Linked DNA regions of Drosophila melanogaster. The protein of the gene in region 1 interacts with the protein of each later gene in a pairwise test. Each region holds a gene or a part of one and is shown on either strand. Other genes may lie near its edges.

Region 1 (5,543 bases):
GCCGAACTGTGTGCCGCCCAAGGAGCCACTGCCGTGGGCCAGGTACACATCCTACTGCCGGCCAACCGGACCTATTGAGAAGTGTACCATCCAGAAACTTAGCTACGGACCGCCAGGTGCCTTCCAGCGCTGCGGAGGTAGGTTATCACCAGATTTACTTCCTAGCATTTATAAAAAAAAATGCATAATCCCAAACAGGTCCTTGTGGAACTGGCGCTAACGATGGCACCTTTCCCAAAGCCGGCATTTGTTAGCCTGGAAATACATTATGGTTGCTCTGAAGAATCCGTCTCCCAAGCTCATCCCGAGTTCTACGTTTTATGTTCAAGCTAAATCTTTCAGTCCACGTCTTCTAAAGAGATATGTTGTTTTCTGTTGTAAATGCTTGTCAAAGGGTTCGCTTTGCGAACTGCATCCATTAATCGAGCGGCGCTATCCGTTTGCTTCGCTGCACCATCGCTTTTATCCGATTTTGTCAATCCCATATGCATATACAGAAAATTGCCGGTGATCCAATACATGGCTTATGAATTATGGTGTATTCCTCATTGTCAAATTAAACTCTGTTCACAGAAATATAGAAATCCAGTAAATCACGGAATAACTAATCGTTTTAATTGGATTTATACAACTAAGTCTAGGGTATTGCGTCTCAAACCATTTGAATCTGCAGCCTCCGCTTGCTGGCTTCTCTCCGCTTCTTATCCCGTTTCTTGCGGGTCTGTGTGGCCTCCCTGAAGAGCTGGACACCATCGCGCTGCTCCACTTCCGTTTGCAGCAGGGCCAGACCGTGCAGGTTCCATCCTAAGACATCGCGCAGCTGACCAACGTCCCGCTTGAGCATCGAGAGCAGCTTGACGAGCAGCGGCTTCATGTTCTTAGCCGCCGAAATGGGCTTCATGTGCACCTTGAACAGGAAGATGGTGACGCGGCAAAGCAGCTCCAGTTGGTCGGGTCGCTGGGTCAGCAGAGTGGGCAGGCGTTCGAGGACTTCGCACACAGTGGAGAAGGGGAGTAGAAGAAGTGCCTCCTCCAGATCGGACGCACGTATCCTCATCAGGGTGCTGACCAGGAAGTCTTCGGGATTCTTAACCTGCAAAGCCTGCATCAGAGGATGTAACTCGGGTTTCTCCTCCGCCTCGAGCTCGAACTGTTTGGATATCTCCAGACATTCGAGTATCGATTCAGCAGACTGCTCGGAACCCACTGTTTTGCGTGACGGCATCTTCAGACCCGGAAGCAAGGGAACTGTGTTGTCCTCGCCCGTGGCCAGTTGCTCATTCTCCATTTGCTCTCGCTCCTCCTCCTGCACATCCTTCAACACAATAGTCTCATCTGTTCGCTCGAACATTCTAAGAGTTCGATCTGATCCGCAGGTGACCAAATATCGGCCATTCGGAGAAACGGACAGACAATACGCTTCGCCTATGTGTCCAGGTAAGGTAAGAATCTTCTCGAAGTTATCGCCATCCCACTGCTTCACCTTTCCATCCTTTCCACACGTGAAGAACATGTGCGTCCTGGGTATAAACTGTACACTCATTACCGAATCGTCGTGTGCAAAAATGGAACGATGACAGTCTCCGAAATTTAAGCCCCAAACTTTTACGTTACGATCTGCTGATCCTGTTACAATGAGATTGGAGTCGTAGGAGATGTCCAGGCAGATCACAGGTAACTTGTGGCCGTACAGTGATAGGTAGAACTTAAAGGTGTCCAGGAAGAAAACCTTCACGGTGGCGTCCAACAAGCCCACAGCCAGGTACTTCATGTCCGGACTAACGGCCAAACAGAGCACGGTCTCCTCCAGCTTCAGTGTGTTTTTGTGCAGCAGGGACAGCACCTTGGTTTGGGCAGCACCCTCGCCGGCATCGATCAGCTCGAATGTCCAGATCTTAACCGTGGTATCGCCGCTGCCAGTGACGCAACCCTTTTGATCGGGCAGTATGGCAATGGACCAAAGTTCGCCTTCGTGAGCCGGAATCTCCTCCACTATATCAGCCGCTGCCACGTCCACAATGAGCAATTTGCCACTCTTCATGCCCAGAAGGACGTAGCGATCGCCGGGAACAAACTTCGAACAGAGGATGTAGTCCGTTGGCACAGTACGCAGGCACTGCATGGCATCTCGATCCCAGAACTTAAAGGATTCTCCAGCTCCGGAACCAATGGCCAGGGAATCGTTGCTGAAGCATACGGATCGCACTTCGGACTGGTGCCCCAGACGAGTAAGTGACCTAAGTAGTTTCGCGCTGGGATCGGTTGCTTTGCGCGTTTTGATAGACGCCTCCAGCGAGTACAAGCACAGACTGTTGTTGGCCAAACTAACAAGGACACGCAGCTCCTGGTTCTGGCCCAAAACCACATCTATGGACTTGATCTTTTGCTTGGCACGAATGCTTTCCAGTCGCTTGATTTCATCGCTCAGCGATTGTTCCGTGGACAGTTTTGCTTCGTCTGATCCCTCATCTTCGGCGACCTTTTTCTCCTTCTTTAGACGCTTAGCCAGTCGTTTCTTTACCTCGTCCGGCGTGCAGATGTAGAAGTTCTCGATTAGATCATTAGTGCCGTGGCAGCTGATCACGCGTTCACTGGGATCGGTCACCAGGTTGACGGTGCGGCCCTTTCCAGCGCGCTGGATGGTGCCGCAGTTGCTCACGCTAATGGGGCTGATGGTGTCCTCGTCATCAATAGACAGGCCTTCAACTGCAGACTCCAGAGTTTCAGTGATGGCACCGTCGTGCTTTCTCAGGCGGTAGACATTCATGCCGCTTTCGCCGGCGCCAGCTACCATTAGATTCCCAATAAAGGCCAGTGCCCAGACTTCGGTGCGGTTATCCACGATTGTCTTGAAGCAGAACTGCGTCTCCAGGTTCCAGAACTTGATCTGCGTGTCCTTCGAACAGCTTACCACTATGCTCTCGTCTACCAGACGCTGCAGGAAATGGGCGTCCGTGATGGCGGCATTGTGGCCACTCAATCGAGCTCTTCCCGCCTGCTCCACCACATCGACGACCACCAATTCGGTGTCCAGGCCTCCGCTCACCAGACGCATGCCCTGCAAATCGTACCGCAGGATGCTAACAGCGTTCTTGTGGAGTGCCAGCGTACAGATGGGATCGTAGTACCTGTCCGAGCTGAGATCGAAGATCTGCACCATGCCATCCGCATAGCCAACGGCAATGTGCAGGTGATCTGGCGAGACCCTCAGGGAGGTGACCTCGAACTTTTCGCGGCGCAGCGTCAGCTTGCGATCGCCCATTCTGGGGAAATATAAATTCATGTCAGTTTAAAAACGAAGTAAAGGAAAAGCTTAAATAGCCTTACCGCAAATCCCACACGATCACATTTTCAGCAGCTGGAGCGGCCACATATCGACCCTCTGTCTTGTCCACAACGGCAAAGTTCACATTGGCGCGGCCGGAGGTGATGATATTAAAGCTGTCTATAGCCCGGTAGGCCAAATATTGTTTAGTTAAACCCATTGCAGCATTCAAAACACATAAGGTAAATCAAAAATCGCGTTTCACGTGTTTGGAGATGGTTCCCAATCGATTGCCAGCCGTTTCTATCGATTTGTTCTTCGCAAATCAAAGCAGTTGGCAGCGCGATTGGGTGGCAACGCCGCGCGATTTCCGTTACGCGCCTGCGCTTTTAAAACTCGAAAATCTAACAAACCCACCCCAAAACGTTTAAGATAACTCTGTTTTTGGCCAGCTCAAGCTGCAGTTTTTTCACAAATAGCACAGAACAGAGATCCAAATATGTCTACCTATCCCAGTGCTTCCGCATCCCAGTCGACAGGTATTAATAACATATATTCATTTTAATGAGAACAGAAAGTAAACAAAATCGCTCTAGGAACCTCTGACCTGGACACCGAGTCCGTGGAAGTTCTGCGGGAGCGGCTGAGCACCATGAAGCGGCTGATGGCCGAGCGGACGTCCCAGCAGCAAAACAACCCGGCGACCACGGAGGAGATATTCTCCACCAAGCGCCACCGCTCGGCGGGCATCATCGATGGAAACTTCCTGAGCATCGCGTTCGGCGGAGCTCTGCTGGTGATCATCACGGTTTCGGTGTACGCCTTCTACAGTCTCTACCATGCCATACTCAAGAAGTTCCCTTCGCGCCACGAGGAGCTGTAAACGATGCCAAATTCGATGGCGGTTTTCCGCTTACACACAATTATGTACGAGTTTCTGCATTTAATAATAAATTGTAGCATGAATTTTACTATCAAAAAGTGAAAAAGCCTTGGAACGTGTGCTGTTTTGCATTCGGGTTAATCAACGCCATTTATTGGAGTTCAACTCATTACAAAAATCAATAGTCTCATCACTTTTTACACATCCATTGTTTTTTGTTTGGTTCGAATTAGACTACAACTAAACTGAAAAGGGAAAACTGAATGCATGGACAGCAAAAAAGAAAATGGGGCGTTTGGAAAATGATTTGGATATTGCTATATGGAAAACCATCAAAATATAACGCAGGTGTATAATAAAAACAAAAGACATGACACGAAACGCTGAAAAGGAACACTTGGGGGGATGGGGCGCAGATATATCTGGCGAAAACTCATGGATTTGATTTTGCTTACTCGCTAGCTAACCTCACATCTCGCCTTTTGATCATTATTATTATATATCCTTTTGCCTTAAATATTAGTGTTCGCTAAACTCCTATTTTATGTGTATGAGTTGTAGATTTCATTAATATATCGTTATGTTTTTTATTTTTTTTTTTTACTTTTTCATTTAGTTGGATAGATTTGTTGGTAGATAAATAATAACTAATATCCGTTTGTTTTTCTTTGTTTTTTCGTTTTTAATTCAAATATTATTAGTTTATGTTTCGCAATGTTCCATTTCTTGCACAGCGTAACAGTTCTACTATTTGTAATTAATAATTTGTTGTTTAAGGCGGCCATAAATCAAACCGTTTCAATTTGGATTTTCGGAATAAAACAATTTCAGAGTAGATTAGAACATTAAAAATGGCTATAAATGAACTGATACTATAGGTTTGGTTTCGCAATTTAACTGCCGCTGCGCCGCTTTGTGGATGCCGGATAAATGTTTAGGATTGGATTAGATTGGATGTTGGCTATGACTTCGAACAGGACTCGGGGCTACCGGCTTTCTGCTTTTTACAATTGATTAAATTCCCTACTATTCTCGAACTGATTCCGCTTCTGCTGGTGCTGCTGCCGAGACAGACGTTCCAGACGCTCCCGCCGTCGTCGTCGTCCCACCCGGCGCCACTTTGTTTCTTGTTAATCAGATGTTGTCCACGGAGTCGGCGTCATCCTCGGAGCTGATCTCATCGCCGAACTCGATGTCCTCGTCGAAGCCATCCTCCACGAATGTGACTGTCTCGTTGATGCGCACCGACTCGGGGAACTCGCCGTACGTCTTCAGGTTCCTGGCCTCGTCCGGTGTGTATTTGAGGATCACATCAGCCTTCGAGTCCTGGTAGTCACGCAAGCCCACCAATATGATGTCGCCCTGGTTAATCCACACCTGAAAGTACCAAGGGAA
Region 2 (3,875 bases), on another chromosome or scaffold:
ATTTGCAAATAAATCTAATTGAAATCTATTCAATGATAACATGGCCCCATAAATATTCATGACACTTCCCCCAACCACCATCCGGTTTTGTGTTGTCCTTTCATTTGCAAGCGAATTGACCGAAGCTTAATAATAATAAAACTGAACTGCTACGGCATTTAATGGCTAAATTAAACATTTTGCATAATTATTTCAAGTGATTCTGCAGTTGTAATATCCGAGGAATTATCTTAAAGGGCAGAAATCAGTTTTCTTCACAATTGGAATGGCCAGAGCATGAAATCAGAATGAAAGCGATTGGCCGGAAGGAAAACTCTTCGGTTGCCTAGACTGTCAAAAGGAATTTTCAATCACAAAACAAAATGCCAAAATAAGTTAAACTCTGGCTGTGTATCCTTGTATCTAGCTTCGGCCGAATGATGATTACCGTTAGGACATTGCGTAATTAAATATTCCCCAGACCAGTGAACTTTCGGAAGCAAAGTATTAATAGATGGGGAGCAAATGAAGGTTAGTGGGTTAATCATATCAACATCTCAGCAATTAGCCTGGCCAGTGGTACTTAGAATTTTCCTATAATTTCCTTAGCAACTTAGACGAGGCACGAACAGGAGTGGAATGACCGAAAGTTATTGGACACAATTTTTGTGATTGAGTAATTAAAGATATTTATCCTTGAGTAAAAACCATTAGGCAACATTTGTTAAAAGCTTCTTCTACAAAAGAGTGTAGATAGATGTAGTGTAATAGATACTTTCTGTCAAATGCATACACAAGTTTTAATCCCCAATGGTTTGTTATAATTACAAGTTTCTTTAATATAACTTTGCAATTTTTAACACTACTGAATGATTTCAGCGGGTCTCTTTCTTAGAAGTGCCAGGACGATTATCAGGGTTGGATTTACATATACGAGCAGGAGTAGGCTTCTCGGACGTTATTTTCAGTGAACTCTTGTGTTCATGTAGATTTTGGGTTTGAGTCGGAACAACCGAAGGGTATGGGACGCGAGGCTCGCGACTTGGTTCATCATCGTTGACCGATGGCATTCGATGCAAGTGCGTTAAAGAGGCCAATTCTTCCGGCTCTGCTTTGCTAAAGAGCTCGGCCTTCAGTTTTTGGTAGCAGTGATGGCTGGGGGAGAAACCTGGTTCAGGCTCAGAATGATCTGATATCCTGTATTCGGATTGACTTTCAGAATATGAGTATTTTGTTTGCGTCAAGTTGCTTGCTTCGCCGTCGAGTTGATTGTTTTCACTGCACGCTTCACAAGATTCCATTCCCCCTTCGCAGTGAATATTAAACTCTGAACTGGTCAACTCGGCAAACTCGTCGGCTATAAGACGTCGAGCCAGTGGAACCGAATAGAACTCCTTGTAATGCACTTTTCGCCGCCTCTCAAACTCCATTCTACGCACTTTTTCCTCTACAGACTCGGGAAAGTCCTCATCCGCCGAGGATTCTTCTGAGTCTCCTTCGATGCCAAATGCCGGCATTTCTGACTTTGATGTGTGTCTCAACTTTTCGATCAGGGCATTTGTATCCAACTCCTTTGGCAAATCCTCCTCAAAGACGAAGGGTGTCTTTGGTTCGTCGATGATCATGTGGCCGTAGTCCTTACCAGCCGGGTGGAACGTGGCCAGTATGTTGACCTCATCAAATTTGGCTGCCTTCAGGCTAAATTGCGCACTATTGTTTCCCGACTTCAGGATGCCCTTTACTTGGTCCCCATCCATTCTTGTTTGTAGCTATGTGTAGTTTTGGCCTTTGAAAGGAACTAATTACCGAACTAAAATGTATTAGTGTAAACTTGTGTGTGCCCTATATGGCTTATAATATTTAACTGATAAAATACATTGTCATCGTCAAAAAATATATAAAAATCGTGGGCTCCTTTTCTTGGAAGATTATTGTATAACTTCATTACATTCGCGTACAATTTTTTATTTTATTTTTAATTTATTATCATAAATCTCTCTATGAACTCTGCACTCAAATTACTCTGTTTAACATTTTAAATTGGGATCTAATTATGTAGTAGAAGGTATGCCTGCTTCAAGTCACATATTATCTTCTTATATTCGATTTTAAAATTACTTTATTTATTGTTACCATACATATTAAATTTGTATGTTTACGTATGTTGTTTAAATGCTGCTTAGTGGAGTTTCAAATTCATTGTTACTCCATCATTATTCTCTGGTAAATTAAGCCAAACATGTTTATTAATTATAAATTAAGTCCTTGTCTCCGTATCGAGCAAATACCCAACCCCTAATCTCGGATAATACCAAATCTCCGATCAGACTGTGGACGGATTCACTTTCAAAATATCAAGTGGTTTTCCTGCTGCAATCTCGAAGTAATCCCTGTTGCCATTGCTACTGTTGTTTTTGTGTTGAGGATGTCAAGAACTCGATGTGTTTGTGTGTGGATGAATGTATTCGGTACTCCAATCGAGATACTTCATAATCCGCGGGAGCAGTTTCCAATCGCAGCCATCGAAACCACAAAGTAAACTCATTTTGACGTGTTCAAAATGGGGTTTTGCCGCCCGTTGGATGGAATGATAGGGGGTTTTGTAAAGCGGAGTCAGAGCAAGGCTTCATTATTGATGCGCCATAGTGGAGTTTTTGTTATTGATGTAAACATATTCATCACAAACATGTTACCTCCGATACGGACGAAAACGTGGAAAATGGGGGAAGTGGGGGCGGTAAATCAAGTGATGATAAGAGGCGTGGGGCAACCAATGCAGTTGTGGCAGTTGCAGTTCGCTCTGTGGCAGCTGCCACTTCAAATAACTTCACTGCACACCGTTTTTCCCGCTTTCTCCCGCTTTTCCAAAGGGAAAAGTGAGGGAGTGCCGCATGTGAAGAGGGGCTAGAGGTCACGGAGCGCTGTATTGGGAATTGATTGCAGCACATTATTTCACAATTTTGCCAGCAAATAAACAAGCCTTTGCCGGAGTACGTTCAGATACGAGCCCAGACACCGCGAGAAAAAATGCGTAAAAATATTAAAGCACGATGCCTTTAATATTTTTATATTAATATTAATATATTTTAAGGGGAGAGACAATATTATCAGTTTCCGTTTATCTGATGGAATGACTAATTAGGTATATATTATTCAAAATGTATATTACTAAAAATTATAAGCTAAATCCGTTTTCTCGCTGTGTAGATCCCCGATACGCTTGCACGCATGTGACGAGCGGATGCTTATAAGCACAGTGGATGCGACAAAACAGCAGCATAAAAGTGACGATGACGAGGATATGTCCTCCTTCACTTGTTCCTCCACGCGATGATGACGTTGCGATGTTGTGTCCTGTTGCGAGGTGAAGATGATGATGATCATCAACATCATGATGATGGAGATATAGGCGATGCCGGCAAACAGTCAACAACTGTTTTTCAGCTGCAGTTTTCCTGCCATGTTTGATTGCCTCTCTGTCGGAGACGAAATGCGATGTTGATGCGGCTAGGAAATTTTTCCTTCGATTTACGAAATTGCAGTTGCCCCGATTGCATTTCTTATGTGCATCAATCGCAACAATGTGCAGTGCCGGCAGGATGTGTGCATTGCGTATCCGCAACTGTGTATCTGTGTTCGAGTGTCTGCGTATATGTGTGTGTATCCGAGTATCTGAGTATCCGTATCCGAGGCTCTGTCTGTGCAAATTCTACGTGCAACGCGCCGCATACATATGCGCATAAATAACAGCTGTGAGGTGAGAAAATCGAACGTGGGCAAGGAGCCTTCCTTGCATCCACATATCAACAGGATTTTATGGCAAAATCATAAATTTTCCTCGACTCTTTCGGCTCTCGTCTTCCGCTATGCAATGCAACATCCGTTTCCGCAAGAAG

What was found.
Region 2: the proteins of CG8064 (region 1) and CG6380 interact in a two-hybrid assay, tested with the Drosophila melanogaster proteins (one large-scale study listed by BioGRID).

What each region holds. Positions count from the first base shown.
Region 1 is NT_033777.3:18,281,676-18,287,218, reverse strand, and holds CG8064 (uncharacterized protein), read right to left. Parts: upstream 3,560-5,543; 5' UTR 3,486-3,559; coding exon 3,328-3,485; intron 3,264-3,327; coding exon 653-3,263; 3' UTR 595-652; downstream 1-594. Other genes in the region: CG7131 (uncharacterized protein), read left to right, coding at 1-137, 199-254; CG14312 (uncharacterized protein), read left to right, coding at 3,765-3,804, 3,862-4,148; eIF1A (eukaryotic translation initiation factor 1A), read right to left, coding at 5,283-5,525.
Region 2 is NT_033779.5:17,290,373-17,294,247, forward strand, and holds CG6380 (uncharacterized protein), read right to left. Parts: upstream 1,831-3,875; 5' UTR 1,737-1,830; coding exon 855-1,736; 3' UTR 703-854; downstream 1-702.